Linked DNA regions of Daphnia pulex. Each later gene encodes a partner of the first gene's protein in a complex. Links are inferred from orthologs where the notes say so. Each region holds a gene or a part of one and is shown in the gene's direction. Other genes may lie near its edges. The genes, in order: nuclear pore complex protein Nup153-like, nuclear pore complex protein Nup107-like, PCI domain-containing protein 2-like, E3 SUMO-protein ligase RanBP2-like, nuclear pore complex protein Nup214-like and nuclear pore complex protein Nup98-Nup96-like.

The links.
Region 2: nuclear pore complex protein Nup153-like (region 1) and nuclear pore complex protein Nup107-like share a complex: the UniProt entries of both Drosophila melanogaster proteins name them as parts of the nuclear pore complex. The link is inferred for Daphnia pulex from reciprocal best matches to the Drosophila melanogaster genes Nup153 and Nup107.
Region 3: nuclear pore complex protein Nup153-like (region 1) and PCI domain-containing protein 2-like share a complex: the UniProt entries of both Drosophila melanogaster proteins name them as parts of the nuclear pore complex. The link is inferred for Daphnia pulex from reciprocal best matches to the Drosophila melanogaster genes Nup153 and PCID2.
Region 4: nuclear pore complex protein Nup153-like (region 1) and E3 SUMO-protein ligase RanBP2-like share a complex: the UniProt entries of both Drosophila melanogaster proteins name them as parts of the nuclear pore complex. The link is inferred for Daphnia pulex from reciprocal best matches to the Drosophila melanogaster genes Nup153 and Nup358.
Region 5: nuclear pore complex protein Nup153-like (region 1) and nuclear pore complex protein Nup214-like share a complex: the UniProt entries of both Drosophila melanogaster proteins name them as parts of the nuclear pore complex. The link is inferred for Daphnia pulex from reciprocal best matches to the Drosophila melanogaster genes Nup153 and Nup214.
Region 6: nuclear pore complex protein Nup153-like (region 1) and nuclear pore complex protein Nup98-Nup96-like share a complex: the UniProt entries of both Drosophila melanogaster proteins name them as parts of the nuclear pore complex. The link is inferred for Daphnia pulex from reciprocal best matches to the Drosophila melanogaster genes Nup153 and Nup98-96.

Annotation. Positions count from the first base shown.
Region 1 is NC_060021.1:252,442-256,412, reverse strand, and holds the start of nuclear pore complex protein Nup153-like, read left to right. Parts: upstream 1-1,171; 5' UTR 1,172-1,453; coding exon 1,454-1,525; intron 1,526-1,591; coding exon 1,592-1,835; intron 1,836-1,906; coding exon 1,907-2,002; intron 2,003-2,064; coding exon 2,065-2,352; intron 2,353-2,436; coding exon 2,437-2,582; intron 2,583-2,644; coding exon 2,645-2,996; intron 2,997-3,056; coding exon 3,057-3,971. Other genes in the region: double-stranded RNA-binding protein Staufen homolog, read left to right, coding at 1-66, 131-217, 278-376, 459-560. UniProt on the Drosophila melanogaster protein: Component of the nuclear pore complex (NPC), a complex required for the trafficking across the nuclear envelope. Functions as a scaffolding element in the nuclear phase of the NPC.
Region 2 is NC_060019.1:10,133,856-10,138,117, reverse strand, and holds the start of nuclear pore complex protein Nup107-like, read left to right. Parts: upstream 1-1,462; coding exon 1,463-2,242; intron 2,243-2,301; coding exon 2,302-2,647; intron 2,648-2,706; coding exon 2,707-3,058; intron 3,059-3,117; coding exon 3,118-3,586; intron 3,587-3,651; coding exon 3,652-4,262. Other genes in the region: protein BCCIP homolog, read right to left, coding at 1-123, 185-356, 415-578, 653-751, 812-1,096. UniProt on the Drosophila melanogaster protein: Plays a role in nuclear pore complex (NPC) assembly and maintenance. Required for nuclear import of Mad. Mediates the association between the nuclear pore complex and a subset of active chromatin regions adjacent to lamin-associated domains.
Region 3 is NC_060025.1:7,985,721-7,989,557, forward strand, and holds PCI domain-containing protein 2-like, read left to right. Parts: upstream 1-1,331; 5' UTR 1,332-1,505; coding exon 1,506-1,541; intron 1,542-1,616; coding exon 1,617-1,658; intron 1,659-1,736; coding exon 1,737-1,858; intron 1,859-1,920; coding exon 1,921-2,187; intron 2,188-2,252; coding exon 2,253-2,470; intron 2,471-2,532; coding exon 2,533-2,633; intron 2,634-2,714; coding exon 2,715-2,914; intron 2,915-2,982; coding exon 2,983-3,080; intron 3,081-3,144; coding exon 3,145-3,260; 3' UTR 3,261-3,337; downstream 3,338-3,837. Other genes in the region: b(0,+)-type amino acid transporter 1-like, read right to left, coding at 181-317, 380-425; threonine synthase-like 2, read right to left, coding at 3,512-3,713, 3,795-3,837. UniProt on the Drosophila melanogaster protein: Required for the export of nuclear mRNAs and involved in mRNA trafficking in the cytoplasm.
Region 4 is NC_060024.1:12,886,088-12,890,221, forward strand, and holds the start of E3 SUMO-protein ligase RanBP2-like, read left to right. Parts: upstream 1-1,334; 5' UTR 1,335-1,498; coding exon 1,499-1,570; intron 1,571-1,813; coding exon 1,814-3,680; intron 3,681-3,757; coding exon 3,758-4,134. Other genes in the region: uncharacterized protein LOC124199486, read left to right, coding at 1-669. UniProt on the Drosophila melanogaster protein: E3 SUMO-protein ligase. Component of the nuclear pore complex (NPC), a complex required for trafficking across the nuclear envelope.
Region 5 is NC_060027.1:5,448,498-5,452,427, reverse strand, and holds the start of nuclear pore complex protein Nup214-like, read left to right. Parts: upstream 1-1,130; 5' UTR 1,131-1,282; coding exon 1,283-1,315; intron 1,316-1,380; coding exon 1,381-1,719; intron 1,720-1,776; coding exon 1,777-1,967; intron 1,968-2,025; coding exon 2,026-2,334; intron 2,335-2,390; coding exon 2,391-3,594; intron 3,595-3,660; coding exon 3,661-3,788; intron 3,789-3,842; coding exon 3,843-3,930. UniProt on the Drosophila melanogaster protein: Part of the nuclear pore complex. Serves as a docking site in the receptor-mediated import of substrates across the nuclear pore complex including emb, RanGAP and phosphorylated Mad. Protects mbo/Nup88 from proteasomal degradation at the nuclear pore.
Region 6 is NC_060021.1:8,259,801-8,263,769, forward strand, and holds the start of nuclear pore complex protein Nup98-Nup96-like, read left to right. Parts: upstream 1-1,169; 5' UTR 1,170-1,326; exon of another isoform or gene 1,327-1,339; intron 1,340-1,430; 5' UTR 1,431-1,471; coding exon 1,472-1,523; intron 1,524-1,661; coding exon 1,662-1,904; intron 1,905-2,014; coding exon 2,015-2,409; intron 2,410-2,474; coding exon 2,475-2,718; intron 2,719-2,772; coding exon 2,773-3,068; intron 3,069-3,151; coding exon 3,152-3,368; intron 3,369-3,441; coding exon 3,442-3,870; intron 3,871-3,936; coding exon 3,937-3,969. Other genes in the region: condensin-2 complex subunit H2-like, read right to left, coding at 1-326, 396-718. UniProt on the Drosophila melanogaster protein: Part of the nuclear pore complex (NPC). Required for MAD import as part of the Nup107-160 complex and required for nuclear export of Moe probably via its association with Rae1. Plays a role in nuclear mRNA export.

The DNA of each region.
Region 1 (3,971 bases):
TTCATAACCGATTCATCGAATGCCACTGGAATTAAAGAAACTACTCAATCGTCTCGTCCGCCCAAGGCATGTTTTTCTTATGCCTCTGCCAACACTTCTTAAAATCATATATTTATTACTTAATCTTTAGACTTCTGGAGGGTTGCGCCCGGAAATACGTCTAAGGTACTTGGCCCAAGTACTGGAATACGAGGTCGAGTTTTCCGATTTTCCAAAGGTAATAAACATTTTAAAAACTAATTTTAATTTACTGTTGGAATTAATGTAATATTATTAGGGCAAGAAAGGAGATTTCGTTAGCCTTGTGACCTTGAATACAAATCCTCCGCAAGTGTCGCACGGACTTGGTGCCACTTTGGAAGAAGCCCATGATAACGTAATCATAACTTGACTATATTTTGGCAATCAGCTTAAGTTAATTATTTAATTGATGTTCTTTTTGTTAATTCTTTGCACAGGCTGCTTCCAATATGATGAAATTGCTTTCTGAAGGGTCTCAAGATGACACCGTTGGTCCCAACAAAGAAAACGCAGATCAACGAAGCACAGGACCCCAATAATTTTGTTTTTCCTATAATGCCCTGTTTGATATGTTGAGATTTGAAATGAGATTGTCTCATATCTATTTAATTTAGTTTTTGTGTCATTTAACTTAATATTCAAGCACGCTATCACGATTTTTCTTTTGTTATTCATTTGTGGGTTTGCAGTCAAAACTATTTTTCTTTGTCTTTCACTCTTTTTTTCCCCCTTCTACATTGTACACGGTTCAGCTTTTTATTTCATTATTTTTCATTTAACGGTTATTTGTATTTATTTTCAAATAAAATCAGGAGCTTATCTCTTGCTGACTCTTTATCATGTGTGGAAGAAAAAAAAAGAATTTTGAAAATGAATAATCTGTACCGTTGACTAAAAGAACGAAAATCAGAAAAAAATGGGTGCAAGTTCTAAGATTATGCAATCATACTGATCATACTTTTACGTAATACTGCACTACTGCATTAAAGAACTTGCGTTTTTTTTTACATGGCGCAGCGTGATACCTATATTTGCAGCACACATTACTAGTGGCTGTTTTATGTAACAGCGCTAGCCAAAATGAAAATTAATTTCATGCATGGGGGGAGGGGGTTACCGCATGCGAATTAGGCAATTTCTTTTAGTTCGATCGGTTGATTCATCGAGAATGGTCGAGAAGGGTTCCGCTGGAGCCAAACTATAGCCCGTCACAAACGCCCTCTACTGATAAATTTATAAGTTCTTTGAGCAACATCGTTCTTCATTTGTTTCTCGTAACCGCCAATCAGATCTTTCTAAACTTAAAAAAAATCCGCCATCTTTTCTCGGCACTTTTTTCCTCGCCGCGTGTGGGTCGTGGTGCGACGGGTTAAAGCTGTTTTCTTGCAACAGTATCTGATTTCCGTATTGATTGATAATTTCTAAAACAGTCATGTGGGAAGATAATTTAGGTAAAGTCAAGGCAAGGCGGAGCAAAAATTCAAAACCATACGAAAGGCCCAAGGTAAGACTAAAATACGTTTGTGTGAGTTTGTGAAACCCCAACTATATCCGGCTTTTTGTCTATCAGTCGATTTTGAGGCGAGTAACAGATTCAGTTACTGGATTGTTACCACAACCTTCTTGGCTGGTGAATTGGTTACAATCTACATCAGCTAAAAAAGAAGATAGTGAAAATGATGAAGTTGAGGAAGAACAACCTGTGCCGTCAACCAGTTCATCCAGCAATGGTAACAGCTCCCACCGAGAAGGTGTTGAAAGAGAGTCCTTCATATTTCGCAGACCACCTGGGACATCCAAAGAACAAAGCAACAGTAAGTTTTTTTCATCAATGTTCTGCTCCCTTCAAACTGTGTAACACATGCTTCTTTTTTTGTTTGACTTGCAGTAAGAGCTCGTCCAAATGTCCCTTCTTTGGACTTACTTCCAGAGCCAGTAGTGGTTGAATCAAGTTCAAGAGAACAAATCGTTCAAACAAATGGTTTGTATTAAACACTGATTTTCAAACTTTTATGACATCTCACATCTCATTTCCTCTGACAGGTGATGATGACTCCAACTCAGAGTCAACTAGCGGATGTTCCTCATTGTTACCACATCTCGAGCATAAGAGGGAGAGCAGAAATATAGAACTATCAAGTTTGGGAGTTGCTGAACCTCTCTCTATTAATCAATCTTCACTGCAAATCATTGGAAGCTCTTTGAGCAAGTCCCTAGCAGTTGACCTAAAAAATAGCCGTGGACGCAAAACTCTCAGCCTTCATACTTTTGGTCATGATACAAGTTCAGGTATAACTCCCACAGAAGAATCAAGGTTCCACAAGGATACAGGTAGATTTCTAATGACATTTTCATCATTTTGTAGTCAAGAATTTTGCTTACAAATGAGTCTAATGTATTGTTTTTGATTTGTAGAAGAGGCTAGTGGCTCATTTTTCGACAAAGACGACACTTCACTCAATCGTTCAGCTGCCAAGCGAGACCTTTCCCAACCTCAACTTTCATCGTATGGAAGCAAGAGACCACGCTTCAATATAACTTCATTTGGACCTACGGCTGCTGTAAGTCTTGAATTTAATTTACTAACAAAGTCTGGACTCTATTCTTTTATTACTTCCAACAGGAGGCTAGGCGGTCTTTAATGAACGAGAGTGTTGTAGACTCACCATTTTATGCTGGTAAGACGACTTACGGTGGTGCTTCAGCTTATCGCCGTGCCACTTTACAACCTTCAGCTGCACTATTCCCATACGTGCGAAGTCGAATTCAGGCTAGGCCTGCGTCTTCAGCTCCATCCACTTCGAGTTCTGTTGCTTCTACCAGTTCGTCAAATGTTGTACTTAGTAGTTCAGCGCAACGAATCCTTCAAGCACTCGAAGCCATGTCAACACCAGTGAGAGATGCAAAAAGGATTCCTGCTGCATCCAACAGTAAACGATCCACTTCTTTACAAGGCGAAGAACTTTCGTTCACTGGTAAATTGATAAAAGTTATGAATTGCTTAACGTTATAATAATTTCGCTTTGTGTTTAAAGGGTTTGGTTTGAGTCGCCGACGTCCAAATTTGGGACCTCCAACTTCCAAATTATCTGTCGGTACTCCGGCACAGATTGTCACCCGACCAGCTCCAGCAAACTTGTCTCAAATAGAACCAGCACTAGTATCGAGCACCCCCATCAGTGCCCAGGTTGGTGGCAAGATGCGAATGAGGATGTCAGCACCACTTCGCAAATCGGCTCCTCGTATTCGAGAGGATGAAGATGTAGAGTCGGAGGAGCTCACTGCTGTGCCAATGCCCATTAGTATAGCAGGTCTACCTAGTTTCAACTTGCTACCTCCTTGCTCGGTGGTAGAAAAAGCAACTGTTGTATCGACGAAGACTTCAGTGAAAACAGCAGCAGTAATGAGTTCCAATGGATTGGTTAGTTCTTCAATGACGAGTACCTCAACACCTCGTCCAGCTTTCACGTTTTCAGCACCGTTGGTTACCGTCAGTCCGTACAAGGTAGATGCAGCCGTCAGTTCGAAGCCGCTCAGTTTCAACTTCAGCTCCCCATTGCTCGTCAACGCTTCTCCGAAAAAAACACCAGAGAAGGAGACTCCAACTAAACCCGCAGAAGTGGAATTGAAATCTGGAAGTGTCCTTGATGTTCTCAGAGGGAAAAGTCAAGAAGCTGTGCCCGTTTTGGAGCCAGTTATTAAGTCACCACCGGTTCTTTCAGGATTTGGAGATAAATTCAAGGCACCTACCGATTCTTGGACATGTTCTGTCTGTTGCGTTCCCAATTCCAAGGACAAATCTTCGTGTGTGGCATGCGAATCTCCAGCCCCCAATGCAGTAAAAGCAATGCCTATTGCTCCTGCTGCTGCTGCTGCTCCTGTTGCGCCTCCAACAAAAGGATTCGGTGATCAATTTAAAATGACCGCCGCTCAATGGGAATGTTCTGTGT
Region 2 (4,262 bases), on another chromosome or scaffold:
CTTTGCGGTAATAAGGACTATCCTTCTTTTCGGATCGAATTGTTCGTCATCTTCGTCCCATGTCCCGGAAACTGCTGCATCTGACTCGCTTCGTACAGAATATTCTCCTAATATTTCACCCATCTATTTGACGAAATTTTATTACAACCTACTCTACTTAGGCGTGGAATTAATAGATGAATACCTCTGAAATTGGTTCTTCTTCTGCATTAACCCATAATATGGTGGCTCCTCCTTTGACTTTTTTTTTCCTTGATTCAGGATCTTTTCTTGTAGATTCATGAAGTTTGGAAATTAAAATGAAGTGTGTAAAGTCAAAAGGCTTTCCAGATTTTTTTGCTTCATCAATCTCCTTACTATTAACAAAATTTTACATTTAAACTTGGGATATAATTCAAATTAAGTCTTGTATACCATAGATTTTCCAGTAGGGGAACAGAAACTTGAGGTGGTATGTTTATGAACCTTTCATTGAATATAAGTCCTATCTGGTTAGATGGATCATCAAACAATCCACTCAGTTTCTTCTGTGTTTTTTCCAACAGGTACTTTTTTACTTCTTTAATACATTCCACATCCTAGGAAAAGTAAATAACAAAAAAAATTGGGTTAATTGTAATTTGTGTAACACAAATTCAAAATTTTATCTCACCTTGTGATGTGTCAAGTTAATTACAGAAGTAATTCCAAAAACTTCATCAAGAGAATTTCCTTCATCATCACTATCAGGTTCATCATTATCCACACATTGCTGAAGAAGTAGATATCTTTAGTAAAGTACACAAATTACATCTTCACAAGATTTTATTACCTGTAATATACTTCCAATGTAGTTTTGCTGAATGATGAGTTCCGTCAGACCACTTAAATTAATATGAGCCTTTAGGAAAAGCTGATGCATTAGACTCTTGATACCGTGAAAATCTTCAGCGATTGGTGATTGACCTTCAAAGTCGACTTGAATCTCTCGGTCGTTCTCTCCAAGTTGCTCATCTTCACCCATTTCTTCATCTTGAGAATCATTTTCTTCTTCTTCTTCCTCTGAAGAATCGCTGCTATCTTCTTCCATAGGCCGTTTAGTATTGAAATTCGCCATGATTTTTAAAGACAATTTTTCACACGTGTCAAAAAGTCAAAAACAAACTTAAGTTTGTCTGCTAGGAAGGGGTAGGAAGGAAGTGAAGTGAACATTCAAATTGTTTGAAATAAAATCTTAAAAATTGAGTTAAAAAATAGAATAAAATTGTATTAAATATTATAACAATTATAAAAATCAAATCATTACTATTTCAATTTCAATTAATTATAATTATTTTAATGAATAAAACTTTGAACGTGAATTGCAACGCCCTTTTACTTAGTCTGCTACGTTACAATAAAACGAAAAACGGAAAACTTCAAACCTTCAAACTTCTTCTTTATAAGACAGTGAATTTTATTGTATCTTTTTAAAATAAGCACAATGGAGTTTCAATCTCCAATTATTGCCGGTTCTAACTCAACTGTTACTGGCAAACTAAATCTTCCTGGTCGAAGAATAAAGCACTCACTCGAAAAGACATCAGACATGTTGGGGGCCAGTTGCCTCCCTTCTCCTAACCGACATAATACAATGTCTTTTATGTCTGATGATCTTAGCCACACTATTTTCGAAAGTGATCCTACATTTACGAGAATTGGTGCTGGTTTACAAAGGAAAAATCTGGATTCGACAAGAGCAGACTTAACAGTGAGCAATGTATCACGAAAGAAACGAAATGAAGAACTCATGAGCATCCTTCTAGAAGAAGAAGTTCCAGGAGTAGAAAATGTCTTAGAACTATTTGAGAGATTCCTCAAAACATTTCAGTCATATGGGGCAGAACATCAAGTGTTTAATCAGTGTGCAGAATATGAGTCAGAATGTGGAGAACAAGTATCTGCTTTGCGAAAATTGATTCAAATGGCCCCTCGTGGACACAACAAACTATCACAAGCACAAGAATTGGAGCAAGAACTGAGACTTGAGCGTGACACATGGAGATTGGTTGCATCTCTCTACCAAGATCGTTTAAACTCTGAATTTCATGACAGTGAAATGGAGTCTGATGAAATCTGGAGTGGATTGGATGATGTTACAAGTGAAGATGACTTGGTAAAACAACTCTATGACAAAAATGCCATAATCAGACAGGCTCAGCTCGTAGTCGATTGGCTGGAACAACGAGCGGCTGATGTCTATCACGATTCCCATTACAGCCAGGTATTTTTTAATGTAATTAAAATTTTCTTTTATTAAATAATATATTATACTCTAATTAGGTGGAGTTTTACGGAGATGCGGTTGCCGGCTGGGAAAATACTCTTCATTCTTTGGTCAGTAAAAAACGAGGGCTTAGTACAGATAACGTCGAGCAAAATATGGTTACTCAAATGGATCCCGATGCTCCTAACCGAGAACAAAACAGACGTCTTCACCCACTTGACAAAGAAGATGAAATGCGTTTGCTTCGTTCTGTATTTGCTCGACTCCGTTGTGGACAGCTGGATGAAGCCCAGCAGCTCTGTTTCCGAGCAGGTCAACCATTTCGGGCTGCAATTTTGGAAGGATGGAAACTGTTTCATGATCCCAACATGAAATCTCGCACGGATGTAGCCAACACGAAAGGTAATTTCCAGATTTGTAGAAACCAATGGATTCGATAAAAATATTTATCTCAACTGTAGAGTCGCCATCTGGAAATCCTTATCGTGACATATGGAAGACGATGACTTGGAAAGAGTGCGAAAATGTGCAGTTGTCGGAGGAAGAGCGCGCAATCTTTGCTCTTCTTTGTGGACATTTGAAAGCCCTTTTACCTGCCTGTCGTTCCTGGGAAGATCAACTGTGGGCTCATCTGCGTGCCATGATCGACCACTGTGTCGAGAAGGAACTTCGTCGCTGTGTCAATTATAAACGGCAACTTCAAATTCTACCAGACGAATATTGGAATCAACAGTTGACCGTCGAGTCCATTTTCTCAACTTTAGCTGCCTCCAGAGATAAGACTTTGATCGCCCAAGGCCGTGACCAATATAGGTGACTAATTCTTTAATTTGTCTAATGCGAAATTTACCAAAGCAAATTTTGAAATGCAGGATCATACAGCGCTACCTTATTATGGATGATGTTGACGGATTACTTGAAGAAATGTCGTCTTGGCTGAAACAAGGTGACAGCTGGAGCGTTCACCTACGCCCTCACATGATCCGGCTAATGTCCCATCTTGCTCTGTTCTTCCGGCGCATCGGTCGTGGCTCATGTGACGATTCCATCGGATCCATCCTGGAAGCTTACGTTCTACAACTTGTCAATCTTGGACGAACTGATTTGGCGGCTGTCTATGTTGGACAATTGCCTTTGCCAGAAGATCAAATTCGCCTGTATGCTCAATGCCTCGTTATGGTAGAGGAACAGGAAGAATCCTGTGACGACGAGGAGCGAAGGCGCCTCCTATCTTTGGCCCAGGATGTCGGACTTGATGTCAACGCTATCGCCAAACAAGTTGTAATCAAACTTTGCGACCAGGGCGGAATGGTCCAACACGTCACTGATGCTTCTCTACAGGTGATTAATATAGATTTCGATCTGCATTCGTGCATAGCGTACTCATAATTGTTTAATACTTTTAGGTAGCGACCACGGCAGAAGATGAACGCCGGATACGTTCACTGAGCTGGTTGTTAATGGATCCGTCAATGCGAAGTCAATTGCTTATCCAAGCCAACACTCTCATGCGGGGATACCTTCTCCGTCGTCAGATTGAAGCTGTGAAGCTGACGTTCCAGTTGACTCCACCCGACACAGTCGCCATATTGACCGAACTATGGGAATCACGAACTGGATTGACGGATTTGCCCACTGAAGTCGAGGCTGCTGTCCGTGAATACCTTTGCATCCAGACTTACATTGATGCACTAGACGCCTTTCAAGAATGGTTCACACGTTTCCATCACTCCAAGCCCAAGAAAACAGAAGCTACCGTTCAACAACAGCGAGGAGGAGCCAGTTCTCAACTATCATTCACTGAAAACTTACTCAAAGAACAGCATCTTAAGCAACATCAAGTTGAAATTCAACGCTGGCAGGCAGCCGTCGATTCCCTCACGCAATCAGCTATTGACAAACTGTATAACGTCCTACTTTTTCCTGACGGAGGCTGGATGGTTGATAGCATGTCCTTCGAGGAGGAAAATTCTCCCCGACAACAGCAACAACAGTTGTTGCGACAAACTTGCATCCC
Region 3 (3,837 bases), on another chromosome or scaffold:
AATATTTAGATAATAAATAGCATCTTTTAGGGTCTTTTTGGATGTAACCAATGAGACGAAACGTTGTTTCTTTTATCTGTTTACATGCGTCTGTCACCACTCGGGTGCATGCTGTACTATGATTATTTGCCACTGAGATAACTTTATTATACTTGTTAAAACAGAACAAAGGAAACTTACCCGTCGATTCATTTGCAGTTCATCTTTAATGTTTGACACGGCATCGGTTAAGCTACTGTCATTAATACTGTTGGTCGAACTACTATGTCCATGATCGTCTTTTGATAAAGATTCTGTACGATTTTTATTCGTATCGTCTGAATGTCACAAAGAAAAATGTACATGTCATTGAAAAATGTGTTAAAGAAAATGTATTTACCTTGAGATGAGCGTTGTCGAATTGAATCACTTTCGGGAATAGTCATGTTGGAGCAATACGGAAATTATCCAGCCGAAAATCTAGAAGGGAAATATTTAAATTGGACCTTTGAAAATCCGTGTGCGAACGTATGGAAACGAAGTTTCCCTCCTACTATTTGCACACGTGATGCACTATATTTAATTGACTGTCAAAATAGGGCCACTGGGGCTCGTTGTCGACTAAAAGCGAATGATACAAAAGAAAAACTAGTAGTCAGGGGAGGCCGAAATAAGAATAGATCGGAAGTAGAAAAAGAGGGGGGAGAGAATGGAAACACGAGTGGTTCGGTCCACTCTTAAAGTAGAGCTGATTATTATTGACCATTCGCTGCTGATGCTGCTGTATCTTTTTTTACAGGGTTTAGCGTAAACCCGCCTATATACACACACACTGCAGTGTGTGTGGACTGCCCGCTGAGCGGCTAATCTATGTACTCAAGAGTTTTAAGCCATTTTGACATGTTTGTTCACTCTCTCTCTTCATACTTCTTAGTGAGGTATGAAATCATCTTAGACTGGCGCCACGCTTTTTAATTAGTCTGTCCAGGAGGTAGTTGATCCTTGTTTTTTTTTTTTTTACTTGGAACTCCTCTGTGCAATTTATATGTTATTGGAATCCCGACTCAATGTTTTATACATTTATACAGTACAGTCCTGCGTCAATTGTTTTGTTGGATTAAATCACATGCATTATCTCAGTTGTTGGATATGCATGATATGGAACCAGTTCTTTCTCAACTCATTCTATTTATGTTTATGTTGCGGCATGTTCAGTCGTAAAATAATATAATTCTTATTTTACTTTGTGGTTTTTCCTCCCTTTCGAGATCGAAAAACTTTGATAACAAGCGCGGCGTAAAATTTGAAATTGTAAATATGTAATTCAACTTGTTACCGCTAGATGACGTAAGAGTTTCTAGCAGACGAAGAGCTGAGGAACAATTCGAAAGCGACCGGTCGGCGTGATTATTGAAATTTTCTGTCAAATAATATCCAATTGTGTTTCGCCAAAATTAGATTTCTGTAAGCCACCGATGTCCAGTTTTAAGTTAGTCTCGAAAAATCATTTCTAAGACACTAAAAAAATGGCTAACTTGAATTTGAATCAATATTTACGTGAGGTAACACAGCGCGTCACAAACAGAATGCATTGTTTACACATCTTTAGTTGATTGTTTTTATTTAAACTATTTTAGATTCAATCTTCATGGCAATCTCGAAGTGGAACTGAAGTTTCAGTAAGAAATTCAAAATTAAATTTCTTGTAAAATCATGCTCATGCAATACTTCACGTCTTCTTATTTTGAAACCTTTAGGAACTCCTGTCATTCAATCACCCACATGTTATGAGCTCCAAACTTATTTTGGAGGGATTTGAAAAGTCTGTTGAAAGAATCGTGGAAGCTCCTTTTGATGAGATTGTTGTCCTTCATCTCAGGTATACAGTTGAACTTTCATCAATTTTAAATTTTGGTTTCAACTTTCAATTTTACCATCTAGATGCTTAAGCTATATCAACCAGCAAAAGTATTTAGAAGCATACTCTGAGCAAAGTGCTTTGGTACAGGCGTTTACAAAGCTCTTTCAGACACAGAAGGAAGACAACTGGGCTTTATTCATCATGTATGTCATAAGTTTAGATTTGCGTATGTTTGCAATCAAAGCAGACAAAGAATTGGCCAAAAAAGGAGCAGACAAACCAGGACAAACACTTGAAAAGGCTGCAGAGTGCCTCATGGGACTTTTTAGAGTGTGTGCTGCTGACAAGTAAGAAATAACATTTTGCGACTTATGTAGTAACTAGGTACTCATTCTTTTGTTTGAATTTACAGTCGGTCATCTGATGAAGATACAAAACGCTGGGGAATGCTGTATTTGGTCAACCAGCTGTTGAAAATCTACTTTAGAATAAACAAATTGCATCTTTGTAAGGCTCTTATTCGCGCAATTGATGCCTCCCAGTTCAAGGACCAGTTCTCCCTCAGCCAACAAGTGACTTACCGATACTATGTCGGCAGAAAGGCCATTTTCGAAAGTGATTTCAAAAGCGGTGAGCAGAGTAACATAAATTTCTAAAAGATAATCAATTCTTATATTTAATTTCGCATTTAGCTGAGAAATATTTATCCTACGCGTTTGAGCGGTGTCACAAGAACTGCCGCGCCAACAAACGACTGATTTTAATCTACCTGATTCCCGTCAAAATGCTTTTGGTATGACTTTCATTTGTTGTGTACACATAATGCGATGGAAAACGGAAGGAAGATGCTTAACGTATTACATTTCATTTAAAGGGTCATCTTCCTACAACCCAATTGCTGAGAAAGTATGACCTTCTACAGTTTAGCGAAGTGGTGCAAGCTGTTAGGGAGGGTAATCTCCGGAGACTCAACAATGCCCTTCTTCAACACGATGCCTTTTTCATTCGCTGCGGTGTTTATTTGATTCTTGAAAAGTTAAAAGTCACCACCTACAGAAACTTGTTTAAGAAAGTGTAAGGGATTTTATTGTTGGTGTTGAAAGATGAGCCGACATGATTTCTTTTGAATTTATAATTTTCAGAACTTTGCTCATGAAAACTCATCAAATCCCGATCGAAGCCTATCTTGAGGCCTTAAAATTCATGGGAGTTGAAGACATAGACTTGGACGAGACGCAATGTATAGTGTTACATAAATTAATGTGGCTTTTATAGAATTTGATCCATTTCTTTTTATAACGCAGGTATCATTGCAAACCTCATCTTTGAGAACAAAATCAAAGGGTACATTTCCAACAGCCACAACAAGCTGGTAATCAGCAAGCAGAATGCGTTCCCATCGCTGGCTGCTATCGTATAAGTTGGATCTAATATCTCTTACACACACCTGTTTTCGCGACTAATTGAAACAAAATAATAAATTTCTTATTGAACGAATTGTTTCTTGCTTCCTATTTTTGTATTAAGTAATAGTTTTAGCTGTTTTCTTGTTTCAAAGTCTTACATATTTGTGTTAGGTTTCACCTGACTACGCTATTCTACACCAAAACTGAGTGAATCTCAGGTAAATATTCAAATTTGTTTGTGACGATATTCAACGGTTTTTTCCCCCTAAATCTTAAGGATGATATCTTTTAATTGACTTGTCCAATCGTGGCCCTTTAGGAAGACGTGTCGGGGTGTACAAATTTCGGTATCCATTTTTAATCTCTCCACTCTATGGTGTGTCGACTTGTCCAATCCTGCCGCTTCACAGGCCTCGGGGAATTTCGCCGGTGATGCCGTAGCTAGACAAACGAATACCTGTTTTCCCCTACAAACCAATAAAGGTGACCGGAAGAAACTCATTAAACCGGATCAAGTACATGGGGAGAGAACAAAAATAAATACTCACCTCTGATCTACGTTGAAACAGTAGGAGACTGCCGTTGCAGTGT
Region 4 (4,134 bases), on another chromosome or scaffold:
GATTATTTGGAAGAAAAGGAAGCTTTAGTAGCTCGCCAAACGACGCCAATCAGCGACGAGGATTGGAATATCATCGAGGCTATCCACGAGTTGCTTCTAGCTTCCGTTTCTTCTCTTGAATGTCGCCGGATCCTTGCCAAATACAAGTACTGGAACAGTTTAGCTCAAACTTGGCATCCGGTTTATCTTAAAAGGATCATCAACCGTCAGCAGCACGGGGCTCTGACATCGCTAATTCGTCTTCGAGCTCGCCTTCTCTCCGCTCTGACAGTCTTCCCGGAACCGTCTCTGCCGGATTTGATGGATAGCAGAGTTGCCCAAACCCTTGTGGACGTGGTATCACATCCTTACGGCGCCGACAAGCACGCCCTATCCATTTTACGTAACATGGCTTTCCACAACATTTACAAAAGCCCTTTGTTATCGGCCAGTAACGTTCTTCCTCTCTTTGTGCGCCTTTTAACGGGCAATGCAGCCAATGTCGATATTGCTTCGTCTACAATGGCCGTCACTGCCCTGATCTCTTTGGCGTCCAACAACCAACGCGTTAAAAGCGACATTCGTTCGATGACGGAAGCCTGGTTCCAGCGTAATCCCTTGCTCATTAAGAAAGACCCGACTAAATTTCAAAGTTTATGCCTTAATTTGCAGAAATTAATCGATGTGTGAATTGTTTTTTATTGTGGATGTGCATATTTTGTTAAGTTAGAATTACACTTCATTGTCGTTTATTCGTAAATTTTATTATTTTCAACGAAAAAATATCAAGTGAAAACGAATTCTATAGGCCCACTATATGAAGATAAAAGATTGTGATTCCTTGCCAATTCACTGATTACTTGGCACTAAGAGAAAAAAATTTCTCACTCATTGGTGAAGGCGAATTATCTGGCACGTTTCCAAAGGCCTGATCAATAACTAGTTGAAGGGATACGTCTGGTTATATTTTTAAGGTTCGGGAACGAGACACAAGTTGAGAAATCAAATATTTACGGCTAGACTCCAAGCCATTCCGATTAGCGGACCATGTTATCAATGCATTTAGCTTTAGGACCTTAATATTATTCGACATCCTTTATCTCTATTTATATCTGATGTAGCTAGCTTGGTTTTATTGGTACTGATTGTATAATTGCACTAGTCTTTTACGCAAAATGAATCACTATTTTTTTCCAAGATTTCAGAGCGAGTTTTTTTGTCATTGTCATCGAATGAGTGAGTCATTGTCGAAAACAAAATCGCGCGCAAATGCTTTTGTACATATTTAAAGCAATCTGGCAATAGAAAAGAATTTGAATAAATTCGGAGGGAACAGGGCTCGATTGACTTAATGGCGACTTGGCAACAGCGACGATCCTACCACACGAGGGAAACTAGAGAGTTTATTGCGCCACCACTAGCTCCTCCATATTCAATCGGAAATCCAGTAAATTGTCAAGTGGCCGATTTAGTAATTCGAGTTGTGTGATGATCGAAGCGATAATTTTTTAAAAGAAAAATGCTTCGAACCAAGAAAGACGTAGACAAACATGTTCAAGATCTACAGAAGAAAGTGAACAACGAAAATGAGGTGAGCATCAACGTTTCTTAACTCAGGTTGATTTTCACGAAGTTAGAGAAGCCGGTTTAAAATTTAGTCGATAACAGTTTCGTGTTGACCTTTGAGTATTGCGGTATTGAATTTCCAGATACTTATTTCGTCTCTGACTGTCTATGTTGCACACTGTGTCAATATTTTAGTATAGTTTATCAAAATAATTGCTTGTGCCTACAAATGATGTGTAATGAAAACTTTTTTATATTTTTCTTACAGCGAAAACTCCTTGGCTTCAACTTTGCCAAGTCTTATCATCAAATTGGAGAACACAAGATAGCCAAACAATATCTAGCTTCATATCTTGCAATTAAGGAGTGTTCAGCTCCAGGCCATCGCCTGGCTGGCCAAATTGCAGAGTCTTTAGGTGAAAAAGAGGCAGCTGTCAGATCATACAAAAGATCTTTTGATATTGATAGCAGTCAACGAGATTTGGTTTTCAAGATCTGCAGTTTGGTTTGTGAGTTACCCACCAGCCCAGCCAACAGAGATCTTCAGCAATGCTGGTTGGAGAGAGCTGAAGCATTGCAGCCTCAGCACAGTGTAGTGTTTGAGCTGAGACAGAGGCTAATGCTGTCATCAAATTCCCAAGTAAAAGGAGCAGTGGAAGATCAACTGAAAAATGAAATGCTCAGCAAACCAGGTGACATGAAGCTTCGTATCCACCTTTTAAAGTTGTATCTTGATTCAAACAGAGTCAAGGAAGCTTATGAACATATGCTCAAGATTGAATCCCTTCAAGTATTTAGTCAAGAGCTAGACTGGTACAATTGTGCTCTGAATGTCCTTGAATCCTACAAGAAGCTTTTGGACCACAAAGTGGGGCCTGATTTCTACTTCCACTACTTGAATGCTGTAGACCGACTATCGTTTCTTAAGATTTCTAGAGTTGGTAAAGGCCTTAAATCAGCCCAATCTATCGGTGAGGTACTACCGACCTTGCAATCACTGGACGTCACTTTACAACTAGCGAAAGAAAACGGCGTTCAGCGAGATATTCTGGTACACTTTACGTGTCAGTTGTACTTTCAAGCTGGTTTAGTCGTTCTTCTGAAAGCTCTAGCCGGCCTCGAAGATGAGTACCAAGCCCTGAGCTATGCTGCTACTCTCTTCACCATCGCTTACAACCAGGGTACAACTGGAACCCCCAATCAGTTTGGCGACAAAAAACTTCTAGATTCAACCATTGTGACTGCCAGATACCGTCAGAGTCAATGTGGCCATTGCATCGTCGCCTGGGAAAGCAGAGAAGGTCGTAAATGGGTGGTGGACACTGTCAAGAGGTGTGACAATCCTGACGGACGACGCAAGATGTTTGAAACCGTCTTCGGTGGCGCCTCAACGCGCCCTTATTTCGGAGAAAAATTTCAATTTCCCAAGGAACAACTGGAATTACCTTCTTTTGCTGATTTGCTTGAACTTGATAAAACCGCCCTCCAGCTCTATTCTAACGAATTACATCCAGTGGTCTGGTTGGGCTTAAGATACTTTACCATGCATCGCAGACTGAATGAAACTGACTTTGCATCAGATCTCAGTCAGATCTTGACATCTTCACGCTTCATGCGCGATATCCCATTCTCTTCAGCGTCCTGGAATTCCTGCGCACCTGAGACTCTTTCTGCGCTAGACATGGAGTCATTCGTGTATGCTTCAATTTACAGCACCGTCTCCTTGGAGGAAAACGATTCGAAGGTGTTTGGAACGGTGCCTGCTGCATTGACAAAATCGCTGTGCACAGACCAGCAGTCGGCCTGGTGGCAATCTGCCATCAAACTTATCTCGGGATCGGCTAAAGAAAATTTAAGTGAGCTGCGCCGTACTCTGCAACGAGGTTTGGAGGTCATCCGTCTGTCTGGAAACCAACATGGGATTCCACTGGAACTCGTGGCCAAGCTCGCTCGAACATTTGTGGCCAGGGCTGGGAAAAGCCGCGTGTTCCCTGCCGTTGACGTACCTGCACCTATCTCCACAGATGTGATGACAGTTGAACAAACAGAGGCCCTTGAAAGTCAGGCGACTCGTTATTGGAAAATCTTTCTTGAAATGGCTAATACAGGAAATAGATACACTCCCCCTTTATCTGGTAAGTAATCTATAAAAATCATTGTCTAATCTCTAAACGCAAGTAGCTTTATCAATGTATCAAATCTCTCGCACTAGGACGACTATTCGAGTTTCGCTCAGTAGATGCTGATATTGACGGCCTAATATCAGAGGCGAAACTTTTCTCTGGATACCAGTTGTGGCGTTCTGGTCGACGTGAAGAAGCACTTCGTCTTCTACAGGCGATCTCTGATCCGTACGCTTCATATTACCAAGGGCTCCTCTTCAAAGAGATTGCGGAAGAAGAGTTACGCAAGGGAGCAACCGTGTACGAATCAAGATCAGCAGCCAATGTACTGTTGAACAAATCAAGAGACGCGTTCTACATCACACTGGATCGCCTTCGTAGTCCTGGAATGGAGCGTTTCCATCCACTAGATCAAAAACTTTCAGAAGTCATTGAAAAGGTCGAGACTAAGTTAGGCAGTCTAACC
Region 5 (3,930 bases), on another chromosome or scaffold:
ACTCAAGCAGGTGCTTGCCAAACTAAAACTTGGTAAATAGGAATTCTGGTCTTCGATAGAAGGCGTGGGTTCAAATCCCACTTCTGACAATCATTATTACAAGGAAATATTTTTGGATGGCACGACGGAGAAACAAGCTGCATACAAACCAGCTTCCTACCCTAGCCCAGCCTATCCTTTCGTACTCCTCATACAAACCTCTGCATACAAGCCCGCATCCATATCTCCGGCTTATCCGAACTACCAAGTAAATATCATATCCTGGCTTCTTGCTATAATTGATACAAATAAAGAAATAAAAGTTTTAAATAAACGATTAGTCAGAGTTTACTAGCAGTAATCTTTTTTCTCCCTGCGTCGCTTAAAAATGAATTTATGCGCTACGGCCGTATGGCGTCGCTGTGTCGCTGTTTCTGAATCTGATCAAATTAAACCAATAATTGTTTATTTGAATAGAAAATTTAAAAAAAAATAATTCCATCTTTTGCGGACTGATAAAGAAAAGGGATCGAGATGAATGAACTACACACAGGTTGGGATGAGGAAGTGAGTCGGATCTAAAGTTTGTCCTAGTTGGATATTCTTTGTCTAATTATGCTAGACTAAGGTTACATGAATTATCATCCAATTGAATCTCTTGAAAAATAATAATGTCCAATCGAGCCAGATTTGAGCAGACCGACCAGAATGTGTAGCCTAATAGATAAGGTGCCAGTTTATCTTACTTATAGATGTTAAGTTATTTAGAAGTTAAGTTAAGTTAATTTTGTTTGTTAATTAGTTCAAAGAGAGACTATTTGCCGTATAAAGAGACCGTGCACCACGATCAGATTTATCGTATATTATATAGTCCCTATTTGTAAATTTATTCCTCGAATATGATTCGTTTGATCGAATGTTTATTGTTTAATCGTTTTGAACAGGGTTTTCAATGAACCAAGTTGATGAAAATATTGTATCTTGCAATTTGGTTGACGTATCACGTAAGCCTTCCCTTTTGAATATCTTAACTCCACTATAGCCCCAAAAGTGATCAGAATTGGAAACACTACCCCTCAGCCCCTACCCTTTCAAAAAAAAGAACCGCGAGTTATTACAATTTAAAAAAATTCAAATTGCTTTGATAGATGGCGTTCACTTGTCACAAGCAGACAGGCAGTGAGGCACTCAAACAGTTAGACATTTCATAAAATTTCGACCGGCTTTGGCTTTGCAACAAAATAAGGTTGAAAGTGCGGTGTGATTTTCTATCCGAATATTACATTGATTATTGAAACTGATAATGGCAAACGTTCCTGATCCTGTTGAAGTCTTGGTAATTTTAAAATACATTTTTTTATTGTTTTCTTTCAATTCAACCAATCTAACTTGTAACAACAGGACTTCAAAATGAAACAGCTGTGTAAGTTTAGAGTCACTAAAAAGGAATATGATGTACAGGACACCACATCATTGCTGGCTACTTCTAATTTGTTTGGTCTGATCTTTGTTGGGACACCTGACAAACTTGTTGTCATCAAAGTTTCAGATCTTATACAAATTGACAATACAACATCAAAAAAATCAGAAATATCATCATTTCCCATCAAGGAAATTCTTTTACCCAACAAACCTAGTTTTGTAACACTGAGCTCTGATAATCTTACCTTAATGGTGTGCCTTCAAAAATCTGGATGCTCAGTAGGTTGGATGTATGATGTTCGTGGATTTGCAAGACAGGTATGATTTAAGGAATTTCATTTTGTGTGATTGAAACAGATTTAAAATCTTTTTCAGTCAGGTGAATGGAATCCCTTCCAGGAAGTCAGGCTTTCGTCTACTGATGGAGTTACTGTGAAAGATTGTGCGTGGAACCCTGTTATACCAACTCTAGTAGCTGTCTGTCTTAGTGATGGCTCTTTAGTTGCAGTGGAGATCAACAACACTCAATTCACTATAAATAGCCTTCCATCAAGTACAGGAGCCCAGTATGTGAATATCCTATTTTGTATGTATGTTATTTTCTTAATTTTATTGAATTATTAGGTCAGTCTGTTGGAGTCCCAAAGGAAAACAGCTAGTTGTGGCCAGGCCTAGTAAACTAGTTCAGTATAAGCCTGATTTAAAGGAAGCCAAGACTATAGCGTTTAGTGGTAGCGATGTCCATATGACTCAGCCAATGGTTTGTGGACTTCAGTGGCTTTCTACAACTCAGTTCCTTGTAACGTTTGTTGATCAAAATGAACCCAATTCTCGTCCCCACCTCTACATAGTCAACGTACAAAAATCGGGGGCAACAACTTTCATAGATTATGACGATGTTTGCTACGGAAGTCCGTCTGAAAGACCACACAGGTATACGAATTTTTTTCATTTTATTATCAATATAATGAATTTTGTTTCTTTTTTAGTTATCTAACATTGAGTTTATCCCCATGGAATGTGTTATTGGCTTGTTCAGCTAACGCAATAGAAGTTGCCGTACTAGCTCAAACAGGAGCTGGAGATGCTGATCACCCTGAATGGAGGCAATGGGCACTAGAAGGTGAATGGCGAGCTGAACTACCATTAAATGAGAATGCTGAGACTAACCCGTTGGGAATGGCCATCGATACCACTAGCCAAATTCCAATCAGTTGGGATGACAATCAAACTTTACCGCCCGCACCCATTCTTTTCATACTCAGCACTCATGGTCTGCTTTGCCCGTTTCATGTTATCAATCTAAAGAACGGTGCTGCCAAATTCAATCAGGCTCCTCAAGAATTGTCGGTCACTGGTGAGAGACCAGCGCTTAGTGGAATTGGTCTCAAGGCGGCTCCATTAGCAGCTTCCACTCCATTACCTGCTGCTGGTAAAATTGCATTTCCTAGAACAAATCTTGGAGAACGATTTGCTGCATTTGCGGATGCTCCTTCCTTAGCAGTCCCAGTTACAACGAAATTACCTTCAAATCCGCCTATTTCGGACTCGTTTTTGGGCAACAAACCCCAACTTCAACCTGCCTTACCTTCAGTGACGAAAGTTGCAACTGCACCTGTTGTACCAGCTGTGAAGATAGAAGCGGTTCCGGTTGTCCCGAAAGCTACTCCACTTACTGTCAAACTTACAAGTCAAACTCCAATCGCAGATGAATCTAACATCCATTCATCCATGGGCGCTGCCGCTGCAATATTACGTGACGAAGTGGCCAAATTCGTTCAAGACTTGAAGGAATTCAAAGCTCGTTCGTTGACTTTGAAAGTTACGATCGCGAGTGATGAGGAGAAAGAACGATTGTTAAAGATGACATCCGATCTGGCTGAGTTTGGTGTGGATCTGGTCGATACTACCAAAGTGCAAGACGAAGAAGTTCGAGGCTTGTGCACTGATTTGGTAGAAGTTGCCGCCCTTTTGGAAGATGCCCGTGTTCGACGTGCTCGTCGCAAAAATTCTCATTTCTGTCATTTGCTCAAGTTACGGCCTCTAGATCCAGGCAATCGCAGAAAAATGGACGGCATTGAGCGCTTGCACGTTCACATAGAACAGCAGCTTATAGAAGCTTCACGAAGCCTAGATTCGATTAGCAGAGACCGTACTAGAGACACCCGCAAAATTGAAATCCCAATAACTCAGGTAAGCTTGTTTTATTATTATTATTACTCTAAAATATTCAGCATCCTATGATTTATTTCATCTCAGGTTATTTATGAAGCAATTAGAAACAATACGAAAGTAATATCACAGTTAAAATCTCGTGTTGAACGAATTATGGTTCAGAGCAAAGAACAGCAACTGAAACTCGCCGGTGCAGCCTTCGAAGCTTTAAGGTATTTGCCATTCATAAATTCACTTAATTATTGAATTAATTGTGTGTTCTGTAGACCAAAGAGTGGTGATGAGTCAAGAAAATGGGAGTCTGAACTGGCTGTTCTGGCTGATTCTCTTTTGTCGTCAAGTATAAGAGGAGAA
Region 6 (3,969 bases), about 8.0 Mb from region 1:
AAAACAAAGTGTAAGGGTCAAAGGGGAAATTAGATCTTAGATCAGAGGGGTAACCCAAATGCTCGTTTGAAAGTGTGTAGAGTTTAATTTTAACAGAATTTAAGCTTCCTATAACTTCTTCTAGTTGCAAGATTTCATACGGTAAAGTTTGGATCTTTTTTGTGTCTTTGGCTGTAGCTTTTCTCTTTAATTTTGAGCCAAACTTTCTAAACTTCAGTGGAATTGGTTCTGTGATAAGATCTACATCTCCTTTGTGATGTTTTTTTCGGTGATTTCTTCTTATCTTGGAGCCAGGTGTTTGATTTTCATCATTTTCATTACCATTCCTATAGAGAGTAGAGAGAAATGTGTTTTATTAGAAAGTAAAACATTGTACAGTACATGATTTTAGTTACCCATTCGAACTTAAAAACTCAATCACTTCTTGGAGAAGAAGCCAGAGCTGCTCAACTTTCTTGCTATAGATTTGTGCACTATTCTGTACAACCATAGCAGCCTTAGCAAAATCTAGCTTCATTTGCTCCCCGTTTACATTAACTTCAATCCGCAAATCTTGAATATACTGGACATATTCCTCCAATTTATCAGCTATATTCAGCTCCCAACATCCTTGTTTAGTAAGCTCTCGAATTGGCTTAAGAAGAGCAGCAAATTGAGAACTGAAAACATCATCTTCTTCAACAGAACTCCCACTCGAATTCGCAAGACCAGGGCCCATTGTTTAACACGACTGCGAAACTTATTACAACAAAAAATATCTCGAATCTTTAACTATTTCAGAAAAAGAAGAACATTTTTCATATTGAAAAATAAACTGTCAGCCACTTTGCCTGAACAAACAAGAAAACACAACAATTCAAAAATTGAATTTTGGAGTAAACGTAAGTGTTGCGTTTAGTTCTGAAGTACAAGGCCCACTATGCAACTAAATCAAGGGTCAAACTTTGGTGGCCATGTACGTAGCGCCACCTATAATGACTCTCAGTGTTTAGATTTTTGCGAAAACTAACCAAAACTCTTTAATTTTGCAACAATCAAATTCTAATTAAAATATTTTACACCTCTTAAATTTCGTGTCATCATAGTGTAAACATATTGAATTGCTAAATGCAAGTTAATGAATACTAACCGCTGGAAGACGCAGTCAAACGGCCTTCTTTCTATTCTCATTCTTGTGCGCCGCAACTGCTTTTTGCCTTTCGTAATTCGTATGAGCACCGTCTTGCCTTTTCAACGTTTCATTGAATTGTCAGCAAGTTCATACGACTCCCGCGTGCTGAGATTACTGTTGTGTTCTAAAAACTTGTGTGACGACCGCTAGCCATTGTAAGTTCAAATTGTGAGTTCTCCGAGATTAAGACTTCTGTGGTGTTGCATTTCGTACTCCATAAATATTGGGAGACATTTTTGACATTTTCTTTTTTACTTAGCTGCGGAGTGTGCCGGCTTCTTCAATGATACATCTTTAAAAATGTTTGGACAAAATAGACCCACTTTTGGAGCCCCAACATCAAATACTTTTGGTAATGCATCCAGACAATTATTATTCTTTACCATTGCATAAGCATATTTCATGTTTACAAATGTATCTTATCTTGTCATTACGTCACCATTTAAATTTCAACATTTTTTGTTTGCCCTCCATTGTTTGTTGCATTTAGGCGGTTTCGGTACAAATACATCAACAGGATTTGGGCAGTCTTCGTTTGGGGCAAAGCCAACTGGAACGGCTGCACCAACTTTCCAATCTACAGGTTTTGGATCAAATACCTCGATGTTTGGAAGCACAGGTACTACAACAAGCCAACCCTCGGGAGGTTTGTTTGGTACACCTACTGCCACTTTTGGAGCAGCACAACCTACAGCAGGATTTGGAGCACCTGCAACTAATACTGGCTTTGGAGGTATTTTATGTTTTATAGTTACATTTCATCAAACAGTAGATATCTTTGATGAACTTCATTAATTTGCAATCAAAGAGCACTTAATCATGTTGTTGGTTTTGTAACAAAAGGATTTGGTGGTGGGACTTCAGGGGGGAGCTTATTTGGAGCCCCTGCTGCTTCAACTGGTATGTTTGGATCTAATACCCAACAAACTGCCCCTTCAACTGGTACAACTGGCATGTTTGGAGCAGCCACCAATACAGGATTTGGAGCTCAAGCTAAACCTACATTTGGCTTTGGAGCAACTAGTACCTCCAGTAGCTTGTTTGGACAACCCCAATCCCAGCCCACTCAAACCACCTCACTTTTTGGACAGCCCACAGCACAAGCAACGCCGTCAACGGGTACTGGTTTGTTTGGGACATCATCTTTTGGTAACACAATTGGGGGATTTGGTGGTACTGGTGGAGCCATTACTGGTACCCCAGTAAAATTCAGTCCTCTAACAGGGACAGACTCTATGGTATAATATTTATTCATACACATATTTTTCTCTATGAATTATAATTTTCATTTTGTGGTCTTTAGATGAAAAACAATGTCCAAACGACAATAAACACACACCATCAGTGTATAACATGCATGAAAGAATATGACAATAAATCTTTGGAAGAACTTAGATTTGAAGACTACTCTGTAGGACGGAAAGGACCGACCCCGGGAACCGCACCACAAACTGGAGGATTATTTGGTGGGACCACTACGACTACCCAATCAACTCCGTTATTTGGACAAACTCAACAGACGCCCCTTTTCGGAACACCAGCACCCAGTAAGTATTTTTCTTGTGTATGATGAACAAAAGAGATAATTCGTATGTATTTAGCTATGGGACAGCCGAGCTTATTTGGACAGCCTCAACAGCAACAAGCTCAACCTTCGGCCTTTGGAGCAAAACCCATGGGGTTTGGTCAACCTGCTACTTCCACTCAATCATCATTTGGTTTCGGGACGCCTGCACCTCAACAGCAACAACAGCAGCAACCCAGTCTCTTCGGTCAGCAACAACAAAATAAACCTTTTGGCTCATCGATTTTCGGTCCCCAATCTACGAGCCAACCCACTCCTGCTTTCGGGACACAAACACCCGCTCCCGCATTTGGATTTGGTGCCCCACAACAGGTAATGATAATATTTTTATTTATTCCTTTTTATTTGAGATTGTTTCCTACTTATCGTTTTCTTTTTATTTCTGATTATTGCAGACCAGTCAAAGCTTTTTCAACACTCCAAAGCCAGCAATGGGAGTTCAGACTTCAACAGCAGGTTTTGGTTTTCCTCAAACGACAACCACTCAGTCCGCTGGATCCAACATCTTCGGTGCGAAACCAATAACTGGTTTTGGAGCGACACCTACCCCTGCATTTGGAACTACTCCCGCTCAAACAACGACGCCAGCGTTCGGTGGATTTGGTACATCAGGTTAGATCAGGAAATTGTTTTTGTTGTTTGTTTGTGTTTGCACCAAAAAAAATTTCGACTGTATTTTTTATAGGTACTACTGGAACTGGGTTGTTCACACCTGGACAAACGGCTTTTGGAGTCAAACCAGCCGGGCAAACATTTGGTGCGGTGACATCAACTCCGTCGACTCTAGGATTCGGTCAAAATACAATGTTCGGCGGGGCATCGGCTGCAAATGCAAAGCCCAGTCCATTTGGCGGTACTCCCTTTGGAAGTTCTGGCTTTGGCACTACACCTAGCTTTGGAACAGCTACTGGTGGGATGGGTACTGGCGCTCCCGGTTCACTCTTTGGGAACACAAGTATTGGAGCACCCTCAACTTCAATGTCTTTCGGAACGACGCAGCCTACTACTGGAACTAGCAGTTCCCAGTTGCCTATTCATCAGTATATCTTGACGCTAAGTGAGATTTCTCAGTCTAGTGATCATCCTCTCTTCCGGAAAATGCTGGAACCGTCAGGTAAGCCACTTCGAATGAACACAGTTGAACGCATTTCATTCATTAATTGTTTCATTGCGTTTTCAGGAAAAACAGAAGAATTGATCAAATCAAGCGCCC